Linked DNA regions of Sus scrofa. Each later gene encodes a partner of the first gene's protein in a complex. Links are inferred from orthologs where the notes say so. Each region holds a gene or a part of one and is shown in the gene's direction. Other genes may lie near its edges. The genes, in order: NCBP1, PPARGC1B, NCBP2, NELFE, NCBP3 and PHAX.

Region 1 (4,312 bases):
AGTATCCAACTAATTTGAGTATCAGTCACTCAAGTAATGGCCCTTCTTAGAAGACTTGAAAGTGCTTTTGAAGCTATGACATAATAAGTATGATTTTTCTCTGAGTTAGATGAGCTAGAACAAGTATTAGTATTTAATTTGTAAGGACATTACAGTAGGAAAAGTCTCACATGAGATCATGAAATAGTCTCCCTTAGCAGTGGAATTAGCAATCTAGACTTCCTCATCTCTCCGGTTGACACGGATCACTCTAAACTGTATGCTTTGTGAAGAAGTAGCTATGACTTCTGGATAAAGAAGTCTTCATTATGAAGGTGGCTTAAGTTGTTATTTCAGTTGTTCTTAAATAATGTGCTTTTGTTTTGTTTTTTCCATTGCTTACAGCTCAATTTTAATTTAAAAATGTACACACGAATTGAAACTAGCAGTGGATTTTACCTTTTTTTTTTTTTTTTTTTGTCTTTTTTGTCTTTTTAGGGCTAGATATGTGGCATATGGATTCCCAGGATAGGGGTCGAATCACAGCTGTAGCTGCCAGCCTATACCACAGCAACATGGGATCTGAGCAGCATCTATCACCTACACCACAGGTCATGGCAACGCTGGATCCTTAACCCATTGAGCAACGCCAGGGATGGAACCTTCATCCTCATGTATAGTAGTCGGATTCATTAACCACTGAGTCACAACGGGAACTCCTCAGATACAATTTTTTGAAAGAATCCAGTCAGTATTCAGTAAAACATGTCCTTAGGCTAGAAAACTACTAAGAAGAATTACTTTACTGTAGTTATGCTTAGATTCCTTCTGTTCTGAAAGCATTTATTTGAATGGAGTATATTTATGCTTAAACTCTAAGGGAAGCCATGACTGAGGTGGGGAAGGGTAAAGATTGAATGGTTACTATTAATGCAAGTTATTTTTTTTTTAAACCTAAATTGTCCTTAATACTCATGCTAGGAACTTTGGGAAAACACAAAGTGTAGGAGATTCTGAATGATCATGAATTCATATTTGCTTTTCTTTTTGAGCTAATTTCTGAAGACTGCCTAAATTAGGGGTCAACATTACCTTTTTCTGAAGTATGACTATAATCCTCTTCTCTATTTTTCACATAACTTTAATGAAAATTAACACTTAAGTAAGCAAACTGGGATGTAAAGACATCTTACTACATTGGGTACCATGTTAGAAATTCAATAATTTAACTGATAGAAACTGGGTTTAGTTCTGAATTTTTTCTAAGCAACTAGAGTAGTATTTCTCAAAGTGGAATTCTGATCCCATGACAGTTGGTCTGCGAAGTTTAGAAATTTTGTATGCTCTCTCTCCCCCTTATTGATTCTGCATTGAGGAAACTTGTTTCACAGCAATTTCCAGGTATTTTACCATAGAGACCATTTTCTGTAGAACTGCTATTCAGTTCCACTAAGCACATTGGAAGAAAAACTAGTCTAACATTAGTTATATCTTTAGTTTGATGACTTCACAATTAAGAGTGTTTAACTTTCTTAACTTGTGGATTAACTAGAATTAAAATGAAAAATTTGAGGGGGCCATATCTGCAACTCTATTCAATATTTATGCCTTTTCTGAAGTAGTTTTTAAAATATAGCTAAATGTGATGCTTTTCTAAAATTATAAAAATGATAAAATTTATATAATGTAAAATTCAGAAACTTAATGCTATTGTTTTGGGATCTTCTTGTTGTTCTGGGTTCTCAAATTAGTGCACGTCTGTTACCTGAGAAGTTGACAATTTATACAACACTAGTTGGACTGCTGAATGCCAGGAATTACAACTTTGGTGGAGAATTTGTAGAAGCCATGATTCGTCAACTTAAAGAATCGTTGAAAGCAAACAATTATAATGAAGCTGTATATCTGGTAAGTTTTTCGGTTTGGGAGGCTTTTTTGATATGATATGTTAGTGTTGGAATGGAGGGAAGAGGTGAGCTACAACCAAATAATTTATCTTTTCTCTTGAAATACAGTTCCCCACTCACCACAACAGCTGCCCTTTTGAAACCATTCTCATTAAAGGTACAGAGCTCATTTTACCAAGTCCAGTGACTTTTTTTCACTCTAAATCTTGGTTGACCTTCCTGCAGCATGTGATGCTTTGTACTGCTTTCTTAGTCTCGGTTTTTGCAGCACCTCCTTTTTCAGGACCTCGTGCTGCTACGTACCTTCTTTTTCTCAGTCTCCTTTTACTGGAGCAGCTTCCTTTGTCCCTTAAATTTTTGTCTTCCCTAGGATGCTGTCCTCACTGCATTTTCTTCCAAATACTCTTTCCTAAAGCATTCTCATTCTCTCTCATAGCTTCATAAACTACCTTTATGTTGAGGACACCCACACACACCCACACACCCCAAATCTGTAATCTGTATCTTCACTTCAACCTTTCTCTTGAACTCCAGACCTATGTTCCAAATACTACCTGGATAGCCCTAAGGTATCTTGCCTGGAATTCCCTGAATTAATGAATTATTCATATCTTCTTTCCTCTGTCCTCACCCCAACCTGCACAAATGGCTGCTAGTTACTGGATAGTCCATCGAGAAGCCGGAGCATTCGTTTTTGTCTTGCCTTTGCCCCCTCTTACTCCGAGCAGTCCCCAAGTCCTGTCTAGAGTTCTTCCTCCAGTCAGTCCCTTCTCCGTTGTCTCCAGGGCCTCTAATATAGTTCATGCCTTCCTCCTCATGTCTCAGTAGCCTCTTAACTGATCTTTTTACATCCAGATTCTCTACCTTTCACTTTATCTTCTACAGTGACACCAGAGTGGTCTTTCTGTAACAAGGTTCTGTTCGTATTGGTTACGTGTTAAAAACCTCAATTCCTTCCCATTGTCTACAGAGGATGGTTTTCAAAGCCATGAACAAGATGATGCAGGAAGTAACTGTTAGAACTCTTATTTATCTTAAATGGAAATGGAATTAAGCCTTATTAGTTGTATACATAGATTGACAATGGGCCAGTGTATATTATAAAATATATAATATATATGTTGGAAGTATGTGATCAGATTCTTTTCTGTTGAGTACACAAAAGAATTTAGACACCCATCAGGCTATAAGGTGAAGTTCAGATTCTTCATTAAGCCTGACCCTCAGTGGTTGCACTAGTCTGTTTCTGTTTGCCTCCCATATATCCTCCAGCTGTATCAGAATATTTGCAGGTCCCTGCACCATGTTTTTGAACTTCTCTGCCTAGACCCTCTCCTTGCTCCCCGCTGGAGGACAACTTTACTCATTCTGTATGACCTAGATGGATTGTTACTCCCTTAAGATGTTTTCCCCTCTCTCTGTATCTCTGTTTCTAGAGCACTTTTTAATTTATCCTTTAGTATAGGATTCATCCTTTTGCGTTGAGATTTGGCTTGTCCCACTAGACTATTAGCCCCCATATGACAGAGACTCTAATATGCTCAGCAGTGGCACACAAAGGACACCCAATAAATATCTTTTCATGAATTTCCATTTCTGTTGTCCAGTGAAAATTTCCTTCACAGCCAAACAGCAAAAGTTGTAGTAGCTAGAATATTACAGTTTAGGTTCTTATTCCAGTATAAATGTGAAGCTATCAATGCACAGACTCCTGTCCCTCCTGTAGTCTATCACAGCTACTCAGCTCTGCTATTAGAACATAAAAGCAGCTGCAGATAGTATGTAAATAGATGAGCATGGCTGTGTAAAAGTTGATTTGTGGACACTGAAATTTACTTTTGTAACTTGTGTGAATCAGAATATTCTTTTGGGTCTTTTTCTAGCATTTAAATATCTAAAAACTACTCTTAGTTCACAGGCTGCTTAAAAATAGGCATTGGGCTAGATTTGGCCCTTGGGCTATAGTTTTTCAGACCTGTGGTTTCAACCTTTACGCAATTGCTTGTTTTATAATTACTATAAAGGGCATTTACATTTAATAGAAATTGTTTTACCCAACAGGTCCGTTTTTTATCTGATCTTGTGAATTGTCATGTCATTGCTGCTCCATCAATGGTTGCTATGTTTGAAAATTTTGTAAGTGTTACTCAGGAAGAAGATGTGCCTCAGGTAAGAAGACCCCTTATGCTGCTTCTTGTCCATACAGTACCAGGTATTTTCTCTTTAGTATGGAATCTTATCCATACAGTACCACGAATTTTTCACCCTTTAGTAATTAAAAAAACCCAAAAGATTCACGGCAGGTTATCACATTATAAATTCTTAACATCTAGGAGTTCCCATTGTGGCTTAGCGGAAACAAACCCCACTAGCATCCATGAGGATTCAGATTCCATCCCTGGCCTCACTTGGTGGGTTGAGGATCT
Region 2 (4,312 bases), on another chromosome or scaffold:
GCGCAACCATGGCCCCTGCCCCCCTGGCCGCTCGGGATCCTGCGGGACCCTGCCCCGGGTCCTTTCATGGGCTGCAGTGCAGCGGCCTTGTCCCCGCGCCTTCTCCTCTTGTGGGGACAAGTCGGCGAAGAAGGCGAAGCACCCTTTTGGAACGAGCTCTCTGTGGGAGGGGTCTGATGTCACGTCCGTAGCACAGGCCTGAGTGTCGGGAGTCCTGGGGGCTCCAGCCAGGCCTGGCTCCCCCTGACCGCGTGTCCGCCCCGGGGACCCAGTTCCACAGCCACGCGACAGGGCATCTCAGCTTCATGGGGGGCGGGGGCTGCCTTCTGTGTCCTCCGAGGCGTTTTGCCAATGGGCAGGAAGGGGGGGGGGGTGCGGAGGATATCGGGCCGGAGAGGAGCTCTGTGGGCCCTGGTGCGGCCTCTCTCCATCCTGCCAGCGGGGCGGCCGCGGCCCTGACTCGCCCGTGACACGGCGCAGGGCCCCCGGCAGGATGGCGGAGTCCGCACCCGCTGCCAGGTGCCCCGAGTTCCCTGGCCGCGTCCGCTCCGTGAGGCTGGCCCTGGTGGCAGGTGTTGCCGGCCACTCTCTGTCGCTCACCGGCTCCTCCACCCCCGCCCAGATGCCAACTCGGAAGAGGCCCCGCCTGCATCCGTGAAAACCAAGTACGAAGCCATGGATTTCGACAGCTTGCTGAGGGAGGCCCAGCAGAGCCTGCACTGACAACAGCCTTAACCTCGAGGAAAACCTCAATACCTCAGATGGGCCCTTCCAACCTGTTTACGCTTTCAGAGAAATTAAGGACATGAGACGGAGCGAGAGCGAGCGAGAGAGCGAGCGAGCGAGAGAGAGAGAGAGAGAGACACGGGGAACTGCTGTCCTTTTAAAAGAATAATCAATGTTTACATTGAACAAAGCTGCTTCTGTGTGAGTTTCCACGGTGTGCACGCTCCACTGCCACATCAGCGTCCTCGCTTCCCACGGGCTGTCCGGGATGCCCTCGCCTCCTGACCGACGGCCCCTCCTAGACGTGCAGCTGTGTCCGCCATGCGTTTCCGTCTGTAGTGCGTGACGAAGTCGTTACTCGTGAATAGAATCAGGATTATAAACTCATTTTTAATTGAAGAAAACAAAAGTATATCCTTTAAGTGATGTGTTTATGGCTCAGGTGTCCTGTGCCTGGGATCGTCCTGTTGCTTCCTTGATTTTTAACTACGCACTGTCGTGAGATGTTTGCCACTCAGCTGCCCTGCTCCCTTGGCCAGAGGGCCCCAGAGGTGCTGGGGGGCCGGAGGGCTGGTCGCCGGGGAGTGTGGCGTGCAGCCAGCCCAGGAGCCCGGGAGGGGTTTCAGGGCCTCTCCTGCGGGCCCTGCCTCGCGTCTCGTTGAGCGAGCCCGGGTCCGCGTAGAATCAGAGCCCTCGTCTGGTGCCCGGCTCTCGCTGAGAACTTGTGCCTGGCCCTGAGGGCTCGGATCCTCGGGATCTTAGGGAAGAGGGGGGTGAGGCAGGAGGCTGGTGACTTTTGCCCCGGGGTCCCCCGACCAGTGAGATTACAGAGCACTGGCCCGGCCCAGGAGCCCAGGCCTCCCGATCGCTGGTCCCAGCCTCCCTCAGTAGCTGGAGTGAAGAAGCGGGGTTGCAGGGCCTGGCAGAGCTGGGGCGGCCAAAGAGGACCACAGGCGAGACGCCTGCAGGCTCACCCTGGGGCGTCCGTCAACGGCGGTCTCGTCAGCACGGGGCGAGTTCAGGCTCCGGCACCAGCCTTGATCCAAAGGGTCCTGCCGTCCGCCTCCAGCTGTGGACCCGCCACCAGGGCTTCAGTGACGCCGTGGGCGTGACGCGGACAGATCTGGGAGCAAGCCTGGCTTCACCCCTGCTCACACGGGTCGTTGTTTGGGGGCAGGGGGCACGGGGTGGGTGATAAGACAGTCTCCAAGCTGATTCCCGGACGGTCTGTTGGGCTTGACTGAAGGTTCGTGTTCTTGAGTGACGTCGAAGCCGCGTCCGGGGTGTCCCGTGGGTGCCTTGGGGGTCGCCTTGGGGCAGGCCAAGCGAGCGTGTTTCTCTGCTTCAGACAGAGCGGCTCCAGGTGCATCTCTTTCACGCCCAGCTTCCTCGGGAAGCTTTTGTGTGTCCAAGAAAGAAGCAGAACGGTCCTGCCGCTTTTCTTTAGAGTTTGAACTGACTCATTAAACAAAAACTAGCTGATTTAATCCATTATTAATACCGGGCCTCGTTCTTTGAGAATTGGTCGTTATGGGGCTTTTTTGGTTGCTTTTTAAGATTATAAAATACCTCAGTAGCTTCACTGGGCTGATACGCCAGGCCCCCCGAGGAGGTGGAGGAGACCGGCCTGGAAGGGGAGTTTGAGTTCCTGTGCATCAAACCACAGCCCCTCTGGGCCCCAGTTTTCTTTGCTGTGCGATGCGCGGAGGCGGGGACAACTAGCCCTGCCGGCTCTGACAGCTGAGCGTCCCACGTGGCACACGTACCTCCACTCCCACATCCTTGCCAGTGGCAGACATAACCAGTCGGCCCCAGGCCTCGCGTTCTTTGAGCTTGCTCATGCTGTTGGGACCTCGGCTCTGTGCTCTGAGCAGCCGTCCCTGATTGGTCTGCAGTTCCGCCTCTTTCACGTCCTGGTCTGATCTTTGAAAGGTGCCTGTCTTACAGAGCCATACGGTGGCCGGGTGTCATGCTGGCCCATTCCTCTCTGTCACATCCTGATCTGTGGGAGAAAGTTCCTTTGAAGCCATTCCTTGGCCCAGGACTCCCAGCACTACTCTGCCACGTAACCCCACCCGGGGATGGGAGCCAGGTGGGAGAGTGGCCATAAGCAAGTTTGGGAAGGCAGCGTTTGTCAGTTTGTCGGGATGGACCAGAGGGGGCTTTCCACGGCACGGGCTGAGCACTCTCAATTCCTGTTCCAGCTGCTCACTGCCTAGCATCCAGTAGGCGTACAATAAATGGCTGTGGACTAGAACTTCAGTCCACCCGATGCCCCCTTAAGGTCTGCTCTGCATCGGCAGTAAACTGAGTCTTTGTCGCGTGGAAGCTCATGGGGACGCAGTTACACGCAGGGTCTGGAGAGCTGGGTTGAGTCCTGGCTCCACCAAGAGCTGCCTCTGTGACGTTGTGGCTCGCGGTGTCCCTTCCGCTCGTGGAGCCTCTGTGTGTCACAAGGAGACGGAGCGCATGACCTCTGCCCCGCGCTGGCTCGTCCTGATGGCAGCGCGGCTAGATGGCAGTGGAGGGTGAAGGATGCGGATTTTCAGGGAGGGACGAGCATCGCAGGTAGTTAGACTTTGGCCTTGAGCAGAGCAGAGATCTGAGGTCGCGCTGGGATGGGAGGAGCCCAAGGTCACGGCCGGCCGGGGCCGCTGCTAGGGGAGGGCGCCGGCCGCGGGCACAGAGCGGCTTCTTCCCGTCGTCTGTGCATGAAAGGCTCTGCCACGGCCCGGGCCTGCGGCCAGCCTCCATCTGGAAGACTTACTCGGTGCTGAGTCTCCCTCACCAAGGAGACTCCAAGGAAAGCTCGGCAACCATGGCCTTTGTCCCCAGACGAAGGGGTGGCCCGAGGGAGCAGCTGCCACTGGCAGCCGTCTCGGTGTGGCTGTCTGTGCTAGCGTTTGCTCGCCGTCATGTGTACCTGTGACTTGCCCTGAAAGCCTGCAGTAGACTGTGTGGGTAGCGCCCCCACGAGGAAGCCTGTACCGTCGTCCTGGGCCGGGCAGTATTTTCAGCTGCTGAGTGGAATTCTTCCATCTCCTTCCTCAGCCGCCACGAGGCTGGATCGGATCCCTCTCCAGGGCTCTGGTTACCCAAGGAAAATGCATCACGGCGGTGGAGCGTGAGCGGCTGGAGAGCAGCTGAGGCCCCCGCTCCCTGACCCCGTCACCCCATGTCCCCCCAGCACAGCTTTGCGACATAGCAGCAGTCAGGTGTCTGCATCGGCTGGGCGCCCTCGAAGCCTTGGGTGTGGAGCGCACCCCGCAGAGAGCCGGGCCTTTCCGGGGGCAGGAAGGGAGGGTGCCTCCGGGCCGCACAGGCTGCGTCCCCAGGTCCGATGCAGGGAGAGGGGCGGGATAGGAAATCTTTCTCACCTCAAGCCTGTGCTTGTGGCTGCTGTGGTTTCTTCGAGCTGATGCCGTCTGCGTGCTGAGGGCGGGGGAGGCGTGACAGCGCGGTCCCTCTGCGTGGACACCCGGGAGCCCCACCCCCGGCCTCGGGTTCAGCTGAATCCCAGCCGAGCCTGCAGCCTGAGAGCTGGGGCATCCACACCATGAAGCAGAATCAACCCCAGAGGACTTGT
Region 3 (4,355 bases), on another chromosome or scaffold:
CTGGCGGCTACAGTTCCGACTCGACCCCTAGCCTGGGAACCTCCATATGCTGCGGGAGCGGCCCAAGAAATAGCAACAAGACAAAAAAAAATTATAAATAAATAAAGGAAAGCTGTGATTTGTCAAGGCCATCTGGCCATCCAGGTGATCTTCCTATCTTAGGGTCAGCTGTCGCCTGCAACATACCCTAATCAAAGGAGTAAAATCTGTCATCTTCATGGTCCCAGGGATTGTGTGGGGCATGTACACAGTGGGGCTGGGGAATCTTGGGGGCCACCCTAGAATTTTGTCTTCCATATTCTCTGAGCTTGGACCTGGCTCACCTCTGCTTCTCTCTCTGCAGAGGACATCCTGGGCATAGAGGCTGCACGGCCCTGGGAGTTTCAGCCCAGCAGCCCCTGCCGCACAGTTGTCTTCCCACTGCTGACCTCTGGTTCTGCCTTCTGGCTGCTCAGGCTCTGGGAAGAGTGGGGGCCTTGGCCTGGCCCAGTGAGTGGCTATGTGCTGCTGGTGGGGCCCCGGCTCCTCCTCACCACCCTCTCCTTTGCCCTGGACGTGGCCGTGTACCACCTGGCCCCACGCTGGGGGGCGGAGCGCTGGAGCGCCCTGGTCCTGCTATCTGGTTCCTACGTCACCCTGGTCTTTTACACAAGGACCTTCTCCAATGCCATCGAGGGACTGCTTTTTGCGTGGCTGCTGGTGCTGGTATCCCCCCGTGTAGCTGGGAGCCCCACACCTGAGAAGCCTGCTCCAGGCCCGTGGTGGCACAGCTGGCTTCTTGGGGGCATTGTGGCTGCTGGCTTCTTCAACCGGCCCACCTTTCTGGCCTTTGCTCTGGTCCCCCTCTTCCTCTGGGGTACTTACGGACCTACAAGCCCCAGCTTCAGGTCGCTGACCAAGGAAGCCCTGGTGCTGCTCCCAGGGGCGGCCCTCACGGCAGCAGTGTTTGTGGCTGTGGACAGCTGGTATTTCTCCAGTCCATCGAGACCCAGAACCCTGATCCTTACACCTGCCAACTTCCTGCGTTACAACCTGGACCCTGTAAACCTGGCGAGGCATGGCACACACATGCAGCTCACTCACCTGGCAGTCAATGGCTTCCTGCTCTTTGGGGTGCTGCACGCCCATGCCCTGCAGGCTGCGTGGCGACAGCTGCGAGCCTGCCTCCAGGCCTTCGCAAGGGTGGGCTTCCTAAGAGCACTGGATGCCTGGCGCCTGCAGTCCAGGTCTCACCTCCTGCTCATCTACTTCACACCCCTGGCCCTGCTGTCTGCCTTTAGCCACCAGGAGGCTCGGTTCCTGATTCCCCTCCTGGTCCCCCTGGTCCTGCTTTGTAGTCCACAGACCCAGCCTGCACCCTGCAAGGGCACCCTCGCTCTCTTCAATGCCCTAGGGGCCCTCTTCTTTGGCTGCCTGCACCAGGGCGGCCTCGTGCCTGGCCTGGGGCACCTGGAGCGGGTGGTTCATGCCCCTGTGCTCCCGCATGTGTCCACCCGCTACACACTCCTCTTCACCCACACCTACATGCCCCCCCGGCACCTCCTCCACCTCCCCGGGCTGGGGTCACCAGTGGAGGTGGTGGACATGGCTGGCAGTGAGGACTGGCTCCTGTGTCAAGCCCTGAACAACTTCACCAGACAACCAGCCTGCCAGGTGGCGGGTGGGCCATGGCTCTGCCGCCTTTTTGTGGTGACCCCTGGCACCACCAGGCCTGCGGTGAAGAAGTGCAGCTTCCCCCTCAAGAATGAGGCGCTCATCTTTCCCCACTTGACCCTGGAAGACCCACCAGCCCTGTCCTCCCTGCTGAGTGGGGCTTGGAGGGAACATCTGAGCCTTCACATCCTGGAGCTCGGGGAGCAGCCTGACAATATGACAGCAGATCCACTGGCTGGGACTCAGCCATAGGTAAAGGCGTCTCTCCACCTCCTACCTGGGTGGCTGGGCTGGGACAGAGCCCTGATTCTCCTCCTTTCCTTTCCCTTCCAGAATTCCCACCATTGCCTCTCCTATGCACAGCCTCTGACCACTCCGCCTTCTGGGGAAACTGATACCCCATTTCCCTCAAAGACCAAAGAGAGGACCAGTCACAGTCCTGATGCCAAGGGCCCCAAAGAACCTGGTATAATCAATAATGCCAAATGTCTGTTCCTGCCCTACCCCTTCCAGTCACTGTGATGTTGAAATACGTAAATAGCACCTGGTTGTGAAAGGAGACAGCAATCTCCTAATGACGTCCTGAATGACTTCTCCCAGCCCCCCTAGGATGCCTTAGCTCTTGCTGTCATGACAGCCCTTTGGCCTCTTTCTCCTGGAAGGAGGCAGCATGGTGATGTAAAGAGCGGCGGACCTGGTTGCAGGCCCTGGTCTGCTCTTGCTGGCTACATGGTAAGACAGCCCCTTCCCCTCACCCAGCCTCAGTTTTCATCTCTACAGTGGATCAGAGGGTCTTTGAGGTGTCTGCCCCCCAACACTGTGTTGTTCCTGGGCCTGCAGCGCACATCCCCTGGCTAGATGGGCATGTCTCTCCCAAAGCTCTAAGCAGAGAAGTGGGTGTGGTGTATCTAACTGCACTTCGGTGCCTGCTGTCTCAGTACTTATTACCAAAATGAGTAGTTCTGGAACGCCCCTGGCCGCCCACTCCTGCAACTCTCTTCTTACTCGTGTCCCAGAAAGAGGTGGTAGGACATTTCTGTATCTCCTTTGGGGATCAGGGAGCCCAGATGTTCTCCCTCCTGGGTCGGCCCCAGTGGGAATGAAGACATAAGGCTCAGTATCTGGTGGTGCTTGAGCACAAAACCTTAAACGTGGTCTGGTCCCTCTCCAAGCCCCCAGCCCCTGTCTGAAGCCCCTTCACAGGACGGAGAGCGAAGTCCATACCAAATCCACGCCTGCTGCCTGGTAGAAGCCATCACACCTGGGCACATCGCTCCCCAAAACACAGCCCGCTGGGAATGTGAGAAGTGGTGGCACTAAGCTTGTTCTCGTTCTCCCGCCATCTCATGAGAACAAGAGGCAACCAGGCCGAGAGGAGGACGCTGGAGGAGCACAGGCAGGAGACACACTTGTGCAAGTGACCAAACCTGAGTGCTTTTCTAAGTCTGCCTTTTGCTAGCTAAAGTCTTGGGTCATCTTAAAGGCCCTCCTAGGCGGGCTGCTCTGCAGCTACTGCTAGGGTTCTAGTGCCACACCTTCCTTGGGACTCCAAGGGAAAGAAAGTCAGTGCCATGCTGGTCAGTGTTCTCTGGGGGCAAAACAGCCCTGATCTGCAGCGTTTGTGATTTCTGTGGTGTAACACGCTCACCATGGCCAATTGTTAACTACTAAAATGATGTTACTGAACTAAGCTGGGAGGAGACGCCAAGGACCACACTTGTGGATATTTCCCTCTTTAGTACCCGTTCAGGATAATTCATTGTTCTTGTGGTTCACGTTTCTGCTAGCAACTTCGGATTTGTCTCACCTGTAGTGCTTAGCATCATCTCTGGCACCTGATAAGCACTTGTTTACTTTGCAGCCAAAGAAGGCCTTTCTGCCCAACATTTAAAAGCCAAGTGCAACCTGGAGATCCCCCAGACTCTGTTTCAAATTCCTCTGGGCTTCTTGGGACTTCTGTCTCTTCCCTCCCCCAGTTGGGTTCACGACCTCAGAATTCCCTGGAGGTGCTGTTGGTGTAACAGCTCTTCCAGATTGTAGTGGTCTGAGCTCTAACAAATTTGTCTGTAAAGTGTTGGTATCGAGACTTGTGTGGCATCAAGGGGTGATTAGGAACTGCCCTGCAGGATAGTGGAATGAGTTGCTTCCCTGCTTCATTTTCTGGCAAAGGTTAGAAGAGCCTGGAAGGCATGCTGGGAGATGGTTGCCATGGGGAATGGTGGGAAGAATTTGGTTTCTTTAGTAATAGGGTAACTGGTGGGATGACAAGCCGCTGACTACAGACACTGGACGCTTCTCTAACGAAGAGGGGAGGCATCCAAACCCGATGGAGCAAAAAGGACCCAGTTTTCTTTCTGCTCTGACTCCTACCAAAATGGAGGGAACTTGGTTCCTACACTCTTCTTCCACAAAAAGTAAACAACTGTTCCTTCTCTTGCCTGCCTTCCTTTCCTACAAAATGGCCAGTTTGCCCAGAAGCGTCATTGGTCCCTGCACTCTTCTTTTTGTCTCTGCCGGTCAAGACCCAGCTGCGAGTGTGCTTGTTTATGTTGAGGGCTGGGGTTGGGCTGAGGACTGCTAACATTCTGTTGCTCTTATACCCAGATCCAGAGAATAGTGAGTGGGACTGCCTGATGAGGCACACAAGGCAATAGAATGAACAAGCTCCCTGGGCTCCTTGCTGACAAGCTCAAAGGAGAATC
Region 4 (4,940 bases), on another chromosome or scaffold:
CCAGTGAGGCTGAGTTGGCCTCTGACAACCCCCCGCTCCGGCCGCCACCCCCCCACCCCACCCCCCCCACTTCCCAACTCTGCTTCTTGTGGCCCCTGACCTCTTACCTCCTTGTAGCCTAGTATCTGGCCTGTGGTTGGGTGTCTTTGGGCCTGCAGGTCGGAGGGGACTGGGGCCCCCAGTGCGGCCAGGAGAGACCAGGGATCCATCTTCCTCTGCCATTTTCTGGACAGAAAGAAATTTTCAGCTCTTTCTCCTCTGTCTCAACTTCCTTCAGGAACCCATTTCCCCTAGTCCAGGCCCCTCTAGACTCCTCACCGGGCTGAGTGCTCCACACCATGCAGAGGCAGCCAGGCTGGAGAGGACAGAAACAACTGTTCTGCTTCTTGCTGCAGATCTGGGGCACAGGGTGGGAGGCCGTGGGGAAGCTGGAACAGGGCAAGACGAGAGGCATGAGGCAAGGAAAGAGAGTAAGACACAGACAAAAGAGATGGTGACGGGCTTCATGTTTAGATCAGAAATGGTAGGTGTCCCATACAGGCTAGGACAATTAGGCTGAAGCAATAGTTTCCAAAGGTTGTCCTACTTTATAGGAAAAACTGACCTGCAACTGAATTATCTGGAGAGCTGTTTAATAATATAGATTTTGGATTAAAGAATTTCTGGAGATGGACCTAAGAATTTCTAATTTAGGAAAGCTCCCCCTCTAATCATGAGGCACACAGATTCTGATAATCACTAGTTTTAGGAAAAGGAGCCCCAGACCTAAGGATGAAAAACCGAAGGTGCTCAAGGGCTGACCTATCAGCCACCAACAAGTGCCCTGGTGCTTGGAGACAGAAGAAGATGCCAGGGAGAAAAGACCCACTGGAAAGAGCAGTTCTCAGAGCTAAAGTTATCCCCAGGGCTCCCTGCTCTGTCTTCTCATGGGCTCTGACGCACTGCAGGTCGACTGGGTTGGGATCCATCCCGCACCAGTCCAAAGCTGGGATGACAGGTGTCCAGAGACAGGTGAGCCAGGTCAGGTTAGACCCTACTGTGAGAAGGCTGAAAGGGGTTTTAAGCCCTATTAATAAGGGTCAAGGTTAGGTTAGAGCTAAAAGTCACTCACGGTGCTCTCTGGAGCCCCAGGCACATTCAGCAGCTCCCAGCGCCCGGTACATCCTAGCTCCAAGGCGCGGAGGGGCAGATCCAGGGGATCTGGGGTAGGCAGCACTATGGGAGGAAAATCACAGGTCAGGGGTCAAGGGTCATTCCCTGTCTCCTCCTCCTTCCCACCTTCTGCCCCCTCACCGAGTCGCTCCGTCTCCATCATCCTGGAGCCACGGTAGCTGCCGGGCAGCCCGGAAGTGTAGGGAGGAGCCGAAACCCGCGGAACTAGCGGCGACTTCCGGAACACACCCCGCTGGGGGCGGGGACGAGCACTACCGAGGGGCGGAACCCAAGCTGGTGGGAGGCCGGACGGAAGTGTGCGCGCCGCGAGCCGCCTTGGTTACCGCGGTCTCCGCCCCTCGCTACGTCATCGCTCCGAGCCAGCGATCCGCTGCCCGCGCGGGCGCCGCCCGAGACCGTGGGGCTCCGGTTGCCGCCCCCTCAGGTAAGGCCTTCTCCGTCTCACCCTTCGCCCCTTTTTTCCGAGCTCCTTCTCTCTTCTTGCCCTGTTCGTTGCTCTGAGAGCGCTGCGCGGGTTCCACTGCCTCCTCTGCTTTTCGGACCCTGCGAATGCCATACTAACCCCAGCGAGGTAGGGGGGGTCTGGTGCCATCGTCTTCGCGACGGAGGGGGTGTTTCTCCCTTCCTGGGCTACGTGGTGCCCCAAGGCGCTGGTATCCGTGATTCCCGGAGAGAGAAGGGAATGCTGGTTGATCCCGACGAGCGGGGGCTTGGACGGCAGCTGGTTTAAGCAAGGGGTAGGGAGAGGCAAAAGACAGGAGTAGGCAGGCCTGGAGGGGTGGGATTGGGTGCAGTGTGGACGGCGTGTGACCCCTGGGCGGTGACAGTGGAGAAAGATGTCTTGGGCCCTGCCCCTGAACCAGGAGCCACCATGTTGGTGATACCCCCCGGACTGAGCGAGGAGGAGGAGGCTCTGCAGAAGAAATTCAACAAACTCAAGAAAAAGGTGAGGGAGTGTGTGTGGGCATGGCCCAAACTTTCAAAGACTCTACACTGAGAACACCTGGGGTGAGTGTGAGGGGATGGGGGGGTGGGGGTTCTTCTAGCTCATACCTAGAGACATGGCACCTCTCAGTGTCCCTTCATGGGTGGACTTTCTCAAGGTGGATACTTGCTTTTCTCTCTTTTCTGTATAGTCTGCCATGGAGGTGTCTTCCTTTCCTCCGGCTTTTAGTACCACCTAAGAACTGGTGATCCCAGGCTTGGTTTTTTTTAGTTCCATCTGTATCTTGCCAATAACCTTCATATATTGCCGCTCTGGTCTTACCTATTCTAATCTTGGTCTTCCAAATAGGACTGACTCCATTCACTTCTCCCGCTGTTTGGAATCCAGATCTCGTCTCTGTCTTATTTGCGTAGCCAAATGTTTGCCGAGTCGTCTTGATTCCTCCTTTGAAGTAACTTCTTCTGTTTACTCCTTCCTGTGTATTCTCGCAGTCAGGCCTTTGCTGATGCTCACCTAGACTGTTGTAATCGTCTCTCAGCAAGTTTCTTTTTTCGACAGACTTTTTTACTTCTATTAAAATGGTGCTTTGAAAACAGAAAACACTGTCCTTCTTTTTCTCAAAAGCCAGTGGTTTCACATTGTCTATAAAAGAGCCTTAATTTGGCAGCCCTTCCTCGTCAAATAGAACTATTCCTGGGAGTTCCCGTCGTGGCGCAGTGGTTAACGAATCCAACTAGGAACCATGAGGTTTCGGGTTCGGTCCCTGCCCTTGCTCAGTGGGTTAACGATCCGGCGTTGCCGTGAGCTGTGGTGTAGGTTGCAGACGCGGCTCGGATCCTGCGTTGCTGTGGCTCAGGCGTAGGCCGGTGGCTACAGCTCCGACTCAACCCCTAGCCTGGGAACCTCCATATGCCGAGGGAGCGGCCCAAGAAATAGCAACAACAACAACAACAACAACAAAAAGACAAAAAAAAAAAAAAAAAAAAAGAACTATTCCTTAATCCCAAAACACACACACATACACACACACACACACACACACACACACACACACACACCCAGAGTCTTATCTCTGCATCTTTGCCGCCTTGTTTTCTTTGTCTAAAATGCCTTTTCTTTTCTGTATGTTATTGTAGATTCTATCCAGGGCTCAGTTTAATGTGGGCATCAGGAAGGTCTTACTTGCTCTCAGCTATAGTCTACACTTCTTTAATCAGTCTTGACAATTTAGTCTGGTCATCTTATTTCTCAAACTCTAAGCTTCTTGAGGGGAGGATTTCCGTCTCATACTTCTGCATAGACCTGTTACAGAAATTCCTAGTGATGCTCTTTCTGATTAAACGTTTAGGGGGCGGACAGGTGAAGCCCCCAAGAAGGCATGGAGACTTACACTTAATTGCAGCTTGTATCTGCAGACTCTGGTCTATGATTAAACCCCTTGTCTTCGACTTGAGAAACGTGAGACTCTGGAAAGCCTCTGGATACTGTGGTTTGAATAGATTAGGTGTTGTTAGCATTGTAGATGCTCTGGGGGACCATATGTGAGAGGCAGGGCTGCCTCAGTGTGCCACTCTAGGGGCACCATTTGCATTATTTTCTCTGAGAAAGTTGTCCCCTGGAGTGATGTGCCCAGGGGCCTTGGGAGAGGACCTGGGCAGGGACTGGCCCTCACTGACCCCTCTCTTCTCACTCTCATTCCCAGAAAAAGGCATTGCTGGCTCTGAAGAAGCAAAGCAGCAGCAGCACTGCCAGCCAAGGTGGTGTCAAACGCTGTGAGTGACAGGGGAAGTGGGGATAGACCGGAAGTGAGGAGCCCAGGCCGACCTCTGTCACAGCCTGGCCAACACAAAGCCTCTTTCCCCCGCCACTCCAGCTCTGTCAGAGCAGCCCGTGGTGGACACGGCCACAGCAACTGAGCAAGCAAAGCAGCTGGTGAAGTCAGGAGCCATCAGTGCCATCAAGGCCGAGACCAAGAACTCGGGCTTCAAACGTTCTCGAACTCTAGAGGGGAAGTTAAAGGTGAGCACAGGGAGAAAGATGGTTCAGGGCATCCGTGACTTCAGAGGGATCCTGCCAAGTTGGAACAGAGGTAGGTTTAGGGGGAAAGTAATGCTGGTTCAGTCCTGGGCAATTGCTCTGCCATTCTGAGCTTCAGGTTTCTTACCTCGAAAATGAAGGAGCTAGATGACTCCTAGATTCTTCTTTATTTTACACTTTCTTTGGCTCTAATCCACCTCATACTCTGAGAAGTTGAATCGAGATAGAAATGTCATCAGATCCAAGACTTTTTTTTTTTTGCCCACATCCATGGCATGTGGAAATTTCCAAGCTAAGGATCGAACCTATGCCACATGGCCCAAGCTACAGCAGTGACAACACTAGATCCTTAACCGTTAGGCCACCAGGGAACTCCAGAACATTCTTAGATAACTTACATGCTTTAAGTGTGTATTAAGTTATTTATGAAAAAAAAACACATAGTCAAATAAGAAACATATAAAAGAGTTAAAAGAAAAAAAGACAGGCCGGGGGAGCCAAGAAGTGGAGGAGGGAAAAGGAAGCCCCTCTGTCCCAGGGTTAGGCAGCCTCCTGCTCTTGCACTGAGGCAGGTTTCTACCCCCTTCCCAGGACCCTGAGAAGGGGCCAGTCCCCACTTTCCAGCCGTTCCAGCGGAGTATATCTGCCGACGACGATCTACAGGAGGTAATGGTTTCCAGTGTTGTGTCTCTCAGGGGCTGGGGGTTGAGAAAAATGACAAACCCACATATTGGGCTCTATGCCAGCAACTAGAATCGTCCTAACTGTCCTTGGTCTCTTTTCC
Region 5 (4,312 bases), on another chromosome or scaffold:
AGATACCGCGTGTGGAAACCACTCCGGAAAACTCAGGGATCTGCTCACGCCAGCCGGCCTCTTTACAGCAGGCTCATCGTGACTTTTGTAAGCGAATAGTCAGTGGTGTGCGGTGTTTGTAAGTGAATGTCGGCCGTATCGGATGAGGTTTCTTCCACCGTGTGTGGGTTGTCGTGTTCGTGTCATTCCACAGCCGAGTTGGTTTACGAGGGCCCCTCCCCCGCCCTTTTTTTTTTTTCAAGGAACTCCATGAGGGCAGACACTCTATCCACAAGCAATATAAAAAACCGAATTGGTAACAAATTACCGCCTGAGAAATTTGCGGATGTCCGACATTTGTTAGATGAAAAACGTCAGCACACACGTCCACGGCCACCAAGCAGCAATACTAAAACAGGTATTGTTCCGTTGTGTTTCTGGACTTCATTCTGAGTTCCAGAAAGGAATTCGGGGCAGGGATAGATTCTTGGATAAAATGTTATAATTTGTGGACCAGTTTAGTTGTGCTGTTAATCACTTCTAAATTTTAGGTTACGCATTGGGATTTTAGGACGTGAAATTTAATCAGACCTTTGCAGTACTGGCTTTCAATATTTTTGTCCCAAACAGTTATTCTACCCTGTATGTCATTGGTGTACTTTATACATAAGGACAGTAGAAATTAAGTTGGGTTGCGGTGTAAATGGTTAAGCATTTGAACTGGTTAGTTTATATGTGCAAACAGGCTTATAGTGAATCCTCGGCCCTGCTCGCTGTGTGCCAGGGCCAGGTGCCAGGAGCGTCAGAGTTCTGCAGGGGGTGCGAACTCATCATCAGAACGCAGATGGAAAGCAGTAGAGCCCCCATTCGGATAATTACACCCAGAGCAGAGGGGGGGACACTGTAAGCGGTGGCCTGTGGGAGCAGAGAGGGGCGGTCGGCCACCTGGGGGAAGATCTCCTGCGGGAGGCTTCTCAGAGGTCGTGGCTGTAGAGCGAGGCCTTGCAGAGGACGTAGGCTCTCAGTTGGCCAACCTGATTTTTTTGAGGTGGGTGGTAACATGATGTTCTCTCTGTTGCAGAAAGAACTTGGTGGCAGGGTAGGGTGCAATAGAGAGTTAAGTAAGAAGCAAGGGCCTGACCTAGGTCAGGGACAGTGGGGACAGGATTGATGGGAACGGCACACCGTGTCAAGGAAGACGACTCGGCCCTGGGAGGTGTGGCAGGAAAGGGAGAGAAGCCAAGGGGCTCAGGCCTGAGCAGCTGGCAGACGGGGACGCTGTTCTCAGAGAGCAGGATGAGTGAAAGGCCAGCACAGCCACTCCTGTCTGCCTTTTTGTTGTGCTGTTCCTGTGAGAGGGAGCTCAGGGGACAGGCAGATTTCCTGGACCGAAGGCGGGGGTGGGAGGCAGTGGTTACAAGACAAACCAATCTCATTTGGGACATACTCCTTTGATCCTTTGCTTTTTGTCAGGCTCATTACATTTATTGTAAAATGTAATAGTTTTATTGAGAACTTCTTATATGTTTAAAGACTGCAGCTTCCACCCTGAGGGAGCTCGCAGTATTTGTTGTTAGTTGAAATGTTTATAAACTATTTGCTCTGCTTAATTCTACTTTACTTATTTATTTGTTTTTTTGTCTTTTTAGGGCCGCACCCATGGCATGTGGAGATTCCCAGGATAGGGGTCGAATGGGAGCTACAGCTGCCCGCAACGTGGGATCTGAGTCTCTTCTTTGACCTAACGCCGGATCCTTAACCCACTAAGCAAGGCCAGGGATCGAACCCATGTCTTCATGGATACCAGTTTGGTTGGTTAACCGCTAAGCCACGACAGGAATTCCATGCTTGATTCTACTTTTAAAAAACAAACACACACACAGAAAGCAGTCTATTCTGTCTCAGAAATTCCTTTCTGGAGCAGTTGGCCTAGATTTTTTTCCCTATTTGAGCCCCTGGGGGTTCTCATTCGAGTTTTGCTGGGGGGGTGGGTCCAGGCTGACTGTGAAGAGGGAAGGCTCTTAGAAGCTTGGTTGTGTCGGGTCCCATGCCTTTACTCGGGGAGATTTGCACCAGGACCTGTAGAGACCTCGGGGTGAGTACAGACAGCAACGCATACGCCTGTGGCCACCGTAGTACTTTGTGTTTTCTTTTTGTAGATATACGCCAGCGATTAGGAAAAAGACCATATTCTCCAGAAAAGCCTTTTAGTAGTAATCCGGTCGTTCGGAGAGAGCCCTTTTCTGATGTCCATAGTAGGCTCGGCGTTCCCAGGCAAGACGTTAAAGGCCTCTACTCGGATACTCGGGAGAAGAAATCAGGTTGGTAAACACTTGAAAGTGATGGGCGTGGGAGTTGGGTCAGGGCAGAGACACCGAGGGCGAGCGTGGAAACACTCGCTGTCAGAAGGCAGGAAAGAGCGTAAGACAAGAATAAATTATTTTTCCTCTTCCGTTATAATCATTGTCATCCACGCCATCATCGTAATGATAACAATGGGAAATACAGAAAATGGAGAAAAAGAAAACCCACCCCTGATTCTTTCTATTTAGCGCATGGTTTCATAGATGCTATTCCAGTCTTTGCCTGTATACATGTCCTGCTCTGTTCCTGCGGCATTTTTTTAAGCTATTTATTTATTTATTTATTTTTGTTTTTTAAGGCCACACCCATGGCATATAGATGTTTCCAGGCTAGGGGGTGGAATCAGCTGTCATCCTACACCACAGCTCACGGCAACACCGGATCCCTGACCCACTGAGCGAGGCCAGGGATCAAACCGAATCCTCGGGGATACTAGTCAGATTCATTTCTGCTGCGCCACAACTGAAACTCCTGTATCATCTTATCATAGTCATTTTTCCACATTGTTGTTGTCTTTACAAGTAAAACTTTAAATTGTCTTAGAGTGTGACTATCCTATGGAATTCAAAACATGTATTTCTCTATTAAATATCAATATTTTTTAAATAATGGAGTTCCCTATTGGCTCCGTGGGTAAAGGATCCAGCTTTGTCACCACTGTGGCTCTAGTCACTACTGTAGTGCGGGTTTGATCCCTGGCCTGGGAACTTCAGCATGCCACAGGTGTGGCCCAAATAAATAAAGTGATAAAGAACAGAACAAAATAAAATTAAAAAAAAAGTAATGAAGAGTGGTCAGAATCTGAAAGTTTACAGAGAGCATGCAGGCCTGTCAGTTTGCCCAAAGTCTTACCTGGGAATGATCTGGAATGGCCCACTCCTGGCAGAATGAAGTTGTGCACAGCATGGGGAGTCTCCCCGGGAGAGGGCAGGTGTAGCATAAGCAGGCTCCCAGGCGATTCTGTGTGGCTAGCGTGGGAAGCACATATCCGCAAGCCGTGAGAGTCTCCTGCTGGGTCCAGTCCCCTCGGTCTACACCGCACCAGAGAAATGAGGCCGTCTGCCCAGGTCTGCATCGTGGTTGCAAGTGCCACAGATCCCCCCGTGTTTCTTGCATGTCAGGTGTTGACAGTAGCCCTGTTTCTCAGCATCGACTACCAGAGCTGAAATGCCTTCTCACCCAAACAGGTAGTTTATGGACTCGCTTAGGATCTGCAACCAAGACCAAAGAAAAGAACACGAAGAAAGTGGATCACAGGACGCCCGGCACTGAGGAGGATGACTCGGAGCTGCAGAGGGCGTGGGGGGCTCTGATTAAGGAGAAAGAACAGTCTCGCCAAAAGAAGAGCCGGTTAGATAACTTACCATCTCTCCAGATTGAAGTTAGTCGGGAAAGCAGCTCTGGTTCAGAGGCAGAGTCATGATGCCGTTGGAGCCAAGGCAGCTGCCCCAAAGCCTGCCGTCCTTGCGCTGGGTGGGGCGCGCAGGGGGACCCCTGCCTGCGGGCATTGGCGCCCTTCGTCTTACACAGTCACACCCGCTCTTGCTCCATCAGCAGGACATCCTAAGAATGTGACGTGTTTTGAAGGGCATCTCTCTCATCTTTTGCTGCAGATGTTATAGTTCTGGGCCCTCGGTTCTTTTCCCGCCGCCCCACAAGCTTTACCCTTTGAGGAAAAGGCAGCCCTCCAGATTTTGTAGACATTTTTCTTAATATTTTTAACATTGTGTCTTTTAAAAGAAATGTTTTACACAGTTCATCCAAAGAGCAGAGAACTGAACTTCTCACTATTGCCTTGGCCCTGACAGCTGTTCCCAGCACCCTTTTCCAAGAAAAGTCAATTCCCAGGTGCTTATTGGACAGCCTTCGAGGGGGAAGATGAGGGAAGCTGCCAGCTCACCCTTCCAGGACCCTAGTGTGGGGGCCGAGCCTCATGGACCTGACCTCAGAGGTGCACCAGTGCCGCCAG
Region 6 (4,785 bases), on another chromosome or scaffold:
ACTAGGGAGTCATCTAGGGAGCTAAATGAGTGCCTGTTGTGGTGCAGCAGGTTAAGGATCCAGTGTTACCACAGCTGTGGTGTAGGCTGCCGAGCAGGCTCAGAGCAGGCTCAGATTCAATCTCTAACCATGGGACTCATATGCCTCCAGCACAGGCAAAAGGGGGGGAGGGGGTAGATCTTTATATTTTGATATAGAATAAGTCCAGAATAAGCTGCTATATATATATATTTTTTTTTGAGGGGGGGGTTGCGGGGTTGGGGAGGGGCTTCCATATGCTGCAGGCCTGACCATAAAAATAAAAAAAATAAAGAATAGTAAAGGGTACAAATAAGATCCTCTTCATGCAAAAAAAAAAAAAAAAAATTCAATGAATATTTCTTGACCATCTTTATATACAGGAAGTCACCTGACTGGACATAGGTGGGAAAAATAGTGAATAAAGCAGACATTTTAGTGGAACTCAGACGAGAAAGAAAAATACACATGGCAATTGATGCCATGAAGGAAAAAAAAAAAAGAGGCTGAGAATGACAGTAGAGGACTCTATTTTAGCGAGGGTGGTCAAAGAACACCTTTTATTAAAAGGTGGCATTTATTTGTTGTGCACCTGAAACTAATACAACATTGTAAGTCAACTACAATAAAATTACAAAGAACAAAGGTGGCAGGGAGTTCTCCGATTGTCTAGCGGGTTGAGGCACTTGTGTTCTCACCACTGTGGCTCTGATTGCAGCTGTGTGGTTGTAGGTTCTATCCCTGGCCCTGGAATTCCCACAACTGCCTGGGTGGCAAAAAAGAAAAACGAACAAAAAAACCAAGAGAGAACCTGAAATGTTGCACTCTCATTTAAAAAAGAAAAAAAGAAAAGAAAAACCGGTGTTATTTTATCAGAATTCTGAATCATCTGAGAGCATAACCTAGGTAAGAATAGGGTGTCGGGATGTTTGAGCCTCTGCCAGGCAGAGGGAACAGCAACAGCAAAGGCCTTGGGGCGGCGAAAGGACAAAGGCTGCCTGAGGAACAAGAGCGTGAGCAGCGACAGTGTGGCTAAAGAGCCGCTGGGGAGGGACACCAGACTGAGGGACACACCTGCAGCCCTGCTGGCTGTGCAGTGAACTCAGCGTGTGGGGGAAAGCCCTGGAAAGTCTGAGCAGGGCGGCGACCTCACCTCCCGTTTGGAAGGCTCTCCAGGAAGCTCCACGCAGAGTGGATCTCAGAGGAGCAAAAGTAGAAGCAGGAAGGCATGCACAGAGCATCCAGGTGAGCGTTGTGAGGCCGAGGAAGGAATCCCCCAAGGCTGCCATCCGCCCGCAGGTTTAGGTTACAAGGAAACAGGTCAGAAGAAAAGGCGCCAGAATGCTGGCGCTGCAGGGCACTCCATTTTCCCAGAGTAGCGCCAGGGAACGCTGTGCAATGACGAGGCGACATCTGCGAATCCCGACCCAGGCGTCTGGGCCAAGCCCCCACCGGCCGCCGGGGCTGCCACAGCCCCCTCGCGGGGGCGCCCGAGCAGCCGCCGCCCGCCGGACCCGCCCGCCGCCCCGCCGGAAGTGCTCTCCGGCCCGCTGCGCGGCGCCGCGGGAAGATGGCGCAGGAGGCCGGCGACATGGAAGATGGGCAGCTTTCCGACTCGGATTCCGACATGACGGTGGCACCCAGCGAGAGGCCGCTGCCGGTGCCGGTGAGTGCGGAGGACGGCCGGGTGACTCTGGGCTGGGAGGGCGGAGCCCTGGCTGCGAGGAGCCGCAGGCGGCCCTCGGCGCGAGCCGGCCTGGCGGGGAGGGTGAGGGCCCGGCGGGCGTCCTCCGGCCCGGCGCGCGGAGCTGAGGAGTCGGCGGCGCGCAGAACCCGGGGGGCGGCGGCGGGGGTGGCGGCGGCAGCGGGCCTTCTGAGCCCCGCCGGCATCTCTTTGCAAGGCGGGGCCCACGAGGTGTGCGGCCTCTTGAGAGGCGGGCGTACGACCATCTCTTCCCCGCCTCGCGTGATCCGCTCCGCGTTTTCTAAACCTACAGGCTTCCCCACATCGGCGCCACTAGGTTCTCCCAGACGGGCAGATTTTGCCCAAGGTATAGAACTGGAGGACATCGGTCCGCAAACAGCTTTTGGCGCTCCTTTTCGCCCTGAGCAGATAGGGAGTGAAGACCTGGGGTGAAGTTCATCACCTGCTCAGGGGCCTGGTCTTTCATATTCCCATGGAAGACTATGGAAGCTCCGTTTTGCCATAATGTGGCACTAGGTTTTGTGTTAGCTTCCTAGTTTTCTACGTAGGTGTTTGTCTTTACCGCCCTACTAAGTAGCAAGCTCTTGTGGTTCTAAATGCCTGGTTGCCCGCTTTCAAATTCTAGCGCCGCCACCGGGTGATGGGTATTTTAGCCGGTGGCCCCATCTTTAGAATAGGAATGATAATAGTATGGCACTGATAGGCTGTAAGGTTTCAGAGGAGCCTGAGTAATGGCCGACCGGGGTTAGTGTCATTATTATTTCAAGATTAAAAGACTTATTTTCTTGACCTGAATCTCCCCACTCCCACTTCTAGCATATAATAGGAACTCAACAAATTGTTTAACGTAAAGGTGATTGCTTTTGCATAGAAATGTCTTAGGAAAATCGGTACCAAGATATTTTTATTTTTCAATCTTTTAGTTTATATTGCATAGATTAACCCATGACTTAGTGAACCTAATGCCATGAACTCTGCGGTTTTAAAAGTATTTTGTCAGAAATTTCTACCCATAGAGGAGTTTATTGTCTAGTCTGAAAGAAGCATAATTACAAAACCGTATAAAGTTATTGCTGTGTCCAGGTGCATGGCAGGCATCTTTGGAAAGAAAGAAAACAAATTCTGTTTTAACCGCTATTATGATTACTGTCTAAGACAATTTCAAATGACATACTGACAATAACTGAGAAGATTAAAAATCTTCTAAAGGTGAGAATTGAGCTTTGGTAATTTTTAGAAAGAGGCCTTAGAACTAAGTGCTGCATTAGCTATGGAGAAATAAGAATTTGTGGCTTTAAAAATGAAAATTACTTGTAGACCTTTAGAAATGCAAGGACTAGATTGGTTCAGAGCTCTTCGAGGATGATTTCTACTTCAAAATGGTCCAGCCACCTCTCTAATTTTTTTAGTAGCACACAGTGAGTGGAGTTAATGTGTTTTGTGGAGTTGATTGTATTTTCTTTGACTTGCAGAAAGCACTAGGTGGGGACTGCGCAGTGAGGCCCTTCCCGGGTACTGCAGCAGTGTGTGCGCCGGTATCACATTATCGGACTGTGAAAAGTGTGGATTCAAGTGAAGAGAGTTTTTCAGATTCAGATGATGATAGCTCTCTCTGGAAACGCAAGCGACAGAAATGCTTCAATATTCCTCCCAAACCAGAGCCTTTTCAGTTTGGCCAGAGCAGCCAGAAACCACCTGTTGCTGGAGGGAAGAGGGTTAACAACATATGGGGTGCAGTGCTGCAGGAACAGAATCAAGATGCAGTGGCCACTGAACTTGGTATCTTGGGAATGGAGGGCACTATTGACAGAAGCCGACAATCCGAGACCTACAATTACTTGCTTGCTAAGAAACTTAAGAGGGAAGCTCAAGAACATACAAAAGAATTAGACAAAGAGCTGGATGAATATATGCACGGTGGCCAAAAAACGGGATCAAAGGAGGAGGAAAACGGGCAAAGTCATCTCAAAAGGAAGCGACCTGTCAAAGACAGACTAGGAGACAGACTAGAAATGAACTATAAAGGCCGATATGAGATCACAGAGGATGATTCTCAAGAGAAAGTGGCTGATGAAATTTCTTTCAGGTGAGCATTTACGTTTGGCTGCAAGTGAGCACTTGACCAACTCTCTTCCATTTGTAGGGAATTACATGGATTCCAAGTATCTTGATGATGGGTGTTCCTTTTTGAGATTTTAAAATTCAAGGCGTGAACACTGAGCTTACATGGTTATATGCATATATTTGGGTGTTTTTAAATTTGGACAGACCTGATAGAATAATTTTGCAGGTTTTTATAAACTTTTTGGCAACTTTTTCCACTTAGTGCAATAGAACTCTTTGAGTAAGACACGTCTCTCTTTTTTTTTTTTTGCCCTGCCTTTGTCCTATGCCAGTTCCCAGGGCAGGGATCTTTAATGCCTCCTCCACCGGGGGAACGCCCAAAAATGCATCACTGATTTTAAATCAGTGAGGATGTTGGAGTGTTATCAAGCATTCATGACTTTTTTTTAAAAAAAAACAACTTCATTGAGGAATATTATAGATAATTGAGTTGTAGCCTCTCTTCCTTCTGGTGTCTGCTCCCCTTGTGGCTGAAGTTGGTGGGGGGCAGGGCTTGCTGTAGGCTTCCTGATGGGAGGGACTGATGCCGCCCACTGGTAGGTGGAGCTGATTCCTATCCCTCCGGTGGGTGGGGCTTTGTCTCTGGGTGGATTAGAGGCGGCTGTGTGCTGGGGGGGTCTTTAGGCAGCCCGTTTACTGATGGGCGGGGCTTTGATCCCACCGGGATTGTTGTTTGCTCTGGGACTTCTCAGTGCTGATGGGTGGGGCCAGATTTTCCCAAAATGGCCACCTCCAGAGAAAGGCAAGTTGCTGAATATTCCCGAGAGCTTTGCTTCCAGTGCCCTTCCCCCACAACAAACCACATTCACCCGTGTTTTCCCAGGAGGTCCTCCAAGAACTGCAGTCAGGTTAGACCCAGATTCCCGTGGAGACTTTGCTTTGCCCTGGGACCCAGTGCACGTGGAAGTCTGTGTGCGCCTTTTAAGAGTGGGGTCTCT

What was found.
Region 2: the proteins of NCBP1 (region 1) and PPARGC1B are in contact, whole or in part, in a crystal structure (PDB 6D0Y), measured with the Homo sapiens proteins. The link is inferred for Sus scrofa from reciprocal best matches to the Homo sapiens genes NCBP1 and PPARGC1B. Residues at the interface, in NP_002477.1 of Homo sapiens: Glu26, Asp29, His30, Ser33, Leu34, Lys37, Val38, Lys41, Ser42, Ala43, Cys44, Asn49, Gly52, Leu53, Val56; in NP_573570.3 of Homo sapiens: Tyr1006, Glu1007, Ala1008, Met1009, Asp1010, Phe1011, Asp1012, Leu1014, Leu1015, Lys1016, Glu1017, Ala1018, Gln1019.
Region 3: the proteins of NCBP1 (region 1) and NCBP2 are in contact, whole or in part, in a crystal structure (PDB 5OOB), measured with the Homo sapiens proteins. The link is inferred for Sus scrofa from reciprocal best matches to the Homo sapiens genes NCBP1 and NCBP2. Residues at the interface, in NP_002477.1 of Homo sapiens: Glu32, Cys36, Leu71, Thr74, Val75, Arg77, Leu78, Leu79, Ser324, His325, Trp326, Lys327, Glu328, Arg329, Lys330, Ile368, Val370, Met371, Thr374, Glu378, Asn415, His419, Ser422, Asn423, Gln425, Lys455, Arg458, Leu459, Ser460, Tyr461; in NP_031388.2 of Homo sapiens: Gly4, Leu5, Leu6, Lys7, Leu9, Arg10, Ser11, Asp12, Ser13, Tyr14, Glu53, Glu54, Gln55, Tyr57, Glu58, Leu59, Lys62, Ser63, Asp65, Lys67, Ile69, Tyr89, Asn96, Arg99, Tyr100, Asn102, Gly103, Thr104, Arg105, Leu106.
Region 4: the proteins of NCBP1 (region 1) and NELFE are in contact, whole or in part, in a crystal structure (PDB 5OOB), measured with the Homo sapiens proteins. The link is inferred for Sus scrofa from reciprocal best matches to the Homo sapiens genes NCBP1 and NELFE. Residues at the interface, in NP_002477.1 of Homo sapiens: Tyr461, Lys511, Lys557, Ser558, Ser560, His561, Ser564, Lys568, Ile609, Arg610, Gln612, Cys616, Lys647, Met648, His651, Glu705; in NP_002895.3 of Homo sapiens: Arg362, Ile365, Val366, Tyr367, Ser368, Asp370, Val371, Tyr372, Gly379, Phe380.
Region 5: the proteins of NCBP1 (region 1) and NCBP3 are in contact, whole or in part, in a cryo-EM structure (PDB 8BY6), measured with the Homo sapiens proteins. The link is inferred for Sus scrofa from reciprocal best matches to the Homo sapiens genes NCBP1 and NCBP3. Residues at the interface, in NP_002477.1 of Homo sapiens: Lys330, Ile377, Glu378, Cys380, Lys381, Pro384, Pro388, Gln389, Ala392, His420, Asn423, Phe424, Gln425, Arg427, Trp428, Ser429, Glu431, Asp432; in NP_001107590.1 of Homo sapiens: Glu572, Asp574, Glu576, Leu577, Gln578, Ala580, Trp581, Gly582, Leu584, Ile585, Lys588, Glu589, Arg592.
Region 6: the proteins of NCBP1 (region 1) and PHAX are in contact, whole or in part, in a cryo-EM structure (PDB 8PNT), measured with the Homo sapiens proteins. The link is inferred for Sus scrofa from reciprocal best matches to the Homo sapiens genes NCBP1 and PHAX. Residues at the interface, in NP_002477.1 of Homo sapiens: Cys380, Lys381, Pro384, Pro388, Gln389, Leu391, Ala392, Thr395, Phe417, His420, Leu421, Asn423, Phe424, Gln425, Arg427, Trp428, Ser429, Asp432; in NP_115553.2 of Homo sapiens: Ile114, Asn115, Asn116, Ile117, Trp118, Gly119, Val121, Leu122, Glu124, Gln125.

Annotation. Positions count from the first base shown.
Region 1 is NC_010443.5:239,501,960-239,506,271, forward strand, and holds part of NCBP1 (nuclear cap-binding protein subunit 1), read left to right. Parts: intron 1-1,730; coding exon 1,731-1,887; intron 1,888-3,947; coding exon 3,948-4,055; intron 4,056-4,312. UniProt on the Homo sapiens protein: Component of the cap-binding complex (CBC), which binds cotranscriptionally to the 5'-cap of pre-mRNAs and is involved in various processes such as pre-mRNA splicing, translation regulation, nonsense-mediated mRNA decay, RNA-mediated gene silencing (RNAi) by microRNAs (miRNAs) and mRNA export.
Region 2 is NC_010444.4:150,917,158-150,921,469, forward strand, and holds part of PPARGC1B (peroxisome proliferator-activated receptor gamma coactivator 1-beta), read left to right. Parts: intron 1-622; coding exon 623-723; 3' UTR 724-4,312. UniProt on the Homo sapiens protein: Plays a role of stimulator of transcription factors and nuclear receptors activities. Activates transcriptional activity of estrogen receptor alpha, nuclear respiratory factor 1 (NRF1) and glucocorticoid receptor in the presence of glucocorticoids.
Region 3 is NC_010455.5:133,176,180-133,180,534, forward strand, and holds the start of NCBP2 (nuclear cap-binding protein subunit 2), read left to right. Parts: upstream 1-1,986; 5' UTR 1,987-4,355. Other genes in the region: PIGZ (GPI mannosyltransferase 4), read left to right, coding at 344-1,905. UniProt on the Homo sapiens protein: Component of the cap-binding complex (CBC), which binds co-transcriptionally to the 5' cap of pre-mRNAs and is involved in various processes such as pre-mRNA splicing, translation regulation, nonsense-mediated mRNA decay, RNA-mediated gene silencing (RNAi) by microRNAs (miRNAs) and mRNA export.
Region 4 is NC_010449.5:24,043,482-24,048,421, reverse strand, and holds the start of NELFE (negative elongation factor E), read left to right. Parts: upstream 1-1,489; 5' UTR 1,490-1,597; intron 1,598-2,036; 5' UTR 2,037-2,044; coding exon 2,045-2,119; intron 2,120-3,821; coding exon 3,822-3,891; intron 3,892-3,992; coding exon 3,993-4,138; intron 4,139-4,747; coding exon 4,748-4,822; intron 4,823-4,940. UniProt on the Homo sapiens protein: Essential component of the NELF complex, a complex that negatively regulates the elongation of transcription by RNA polymerase II.
Region 5 is NC_010454.4:49,887,162-49,891,473, reverse strand, and holds part of NCBP3 (nuclear cap-binding protein subunit 3), read left to right. Parts: intron 1-242; coding exon 243-397; intron 398-2,138; coding exon 2,139-2,300; intron 2,301-3,530; coding exon 3,531-3,766; 3' UTR 3,767-4,312. UniProt on the Homo sapiens protein: Associates with NCBP1/CBP80 to form an alternative cap-binding complex (CBC) which plays a key role in mRNA export. NCBP3 serves as adapter protein linking the capped RNAs (m7GpppG-capped RNA) to NCBP1/CBP80.
Region 6 is NC_010444.4:129,712,249-129,717,033, forward strand, and holds the start of PHAX (phosphorylated adapter RNA export protein), read left to right. Parts: upstream 1-1,394; 5' UTR 1,395-1,588; coding exon 1,589-1,684; intron 1,685-3,195; coding exon 3,196-3,809; intron 3,810-4,785. UniProt on the Homo sapiens protein: A phosphoprotein adapter involved in the XPO1-mediated U snRNA export from the nucleus.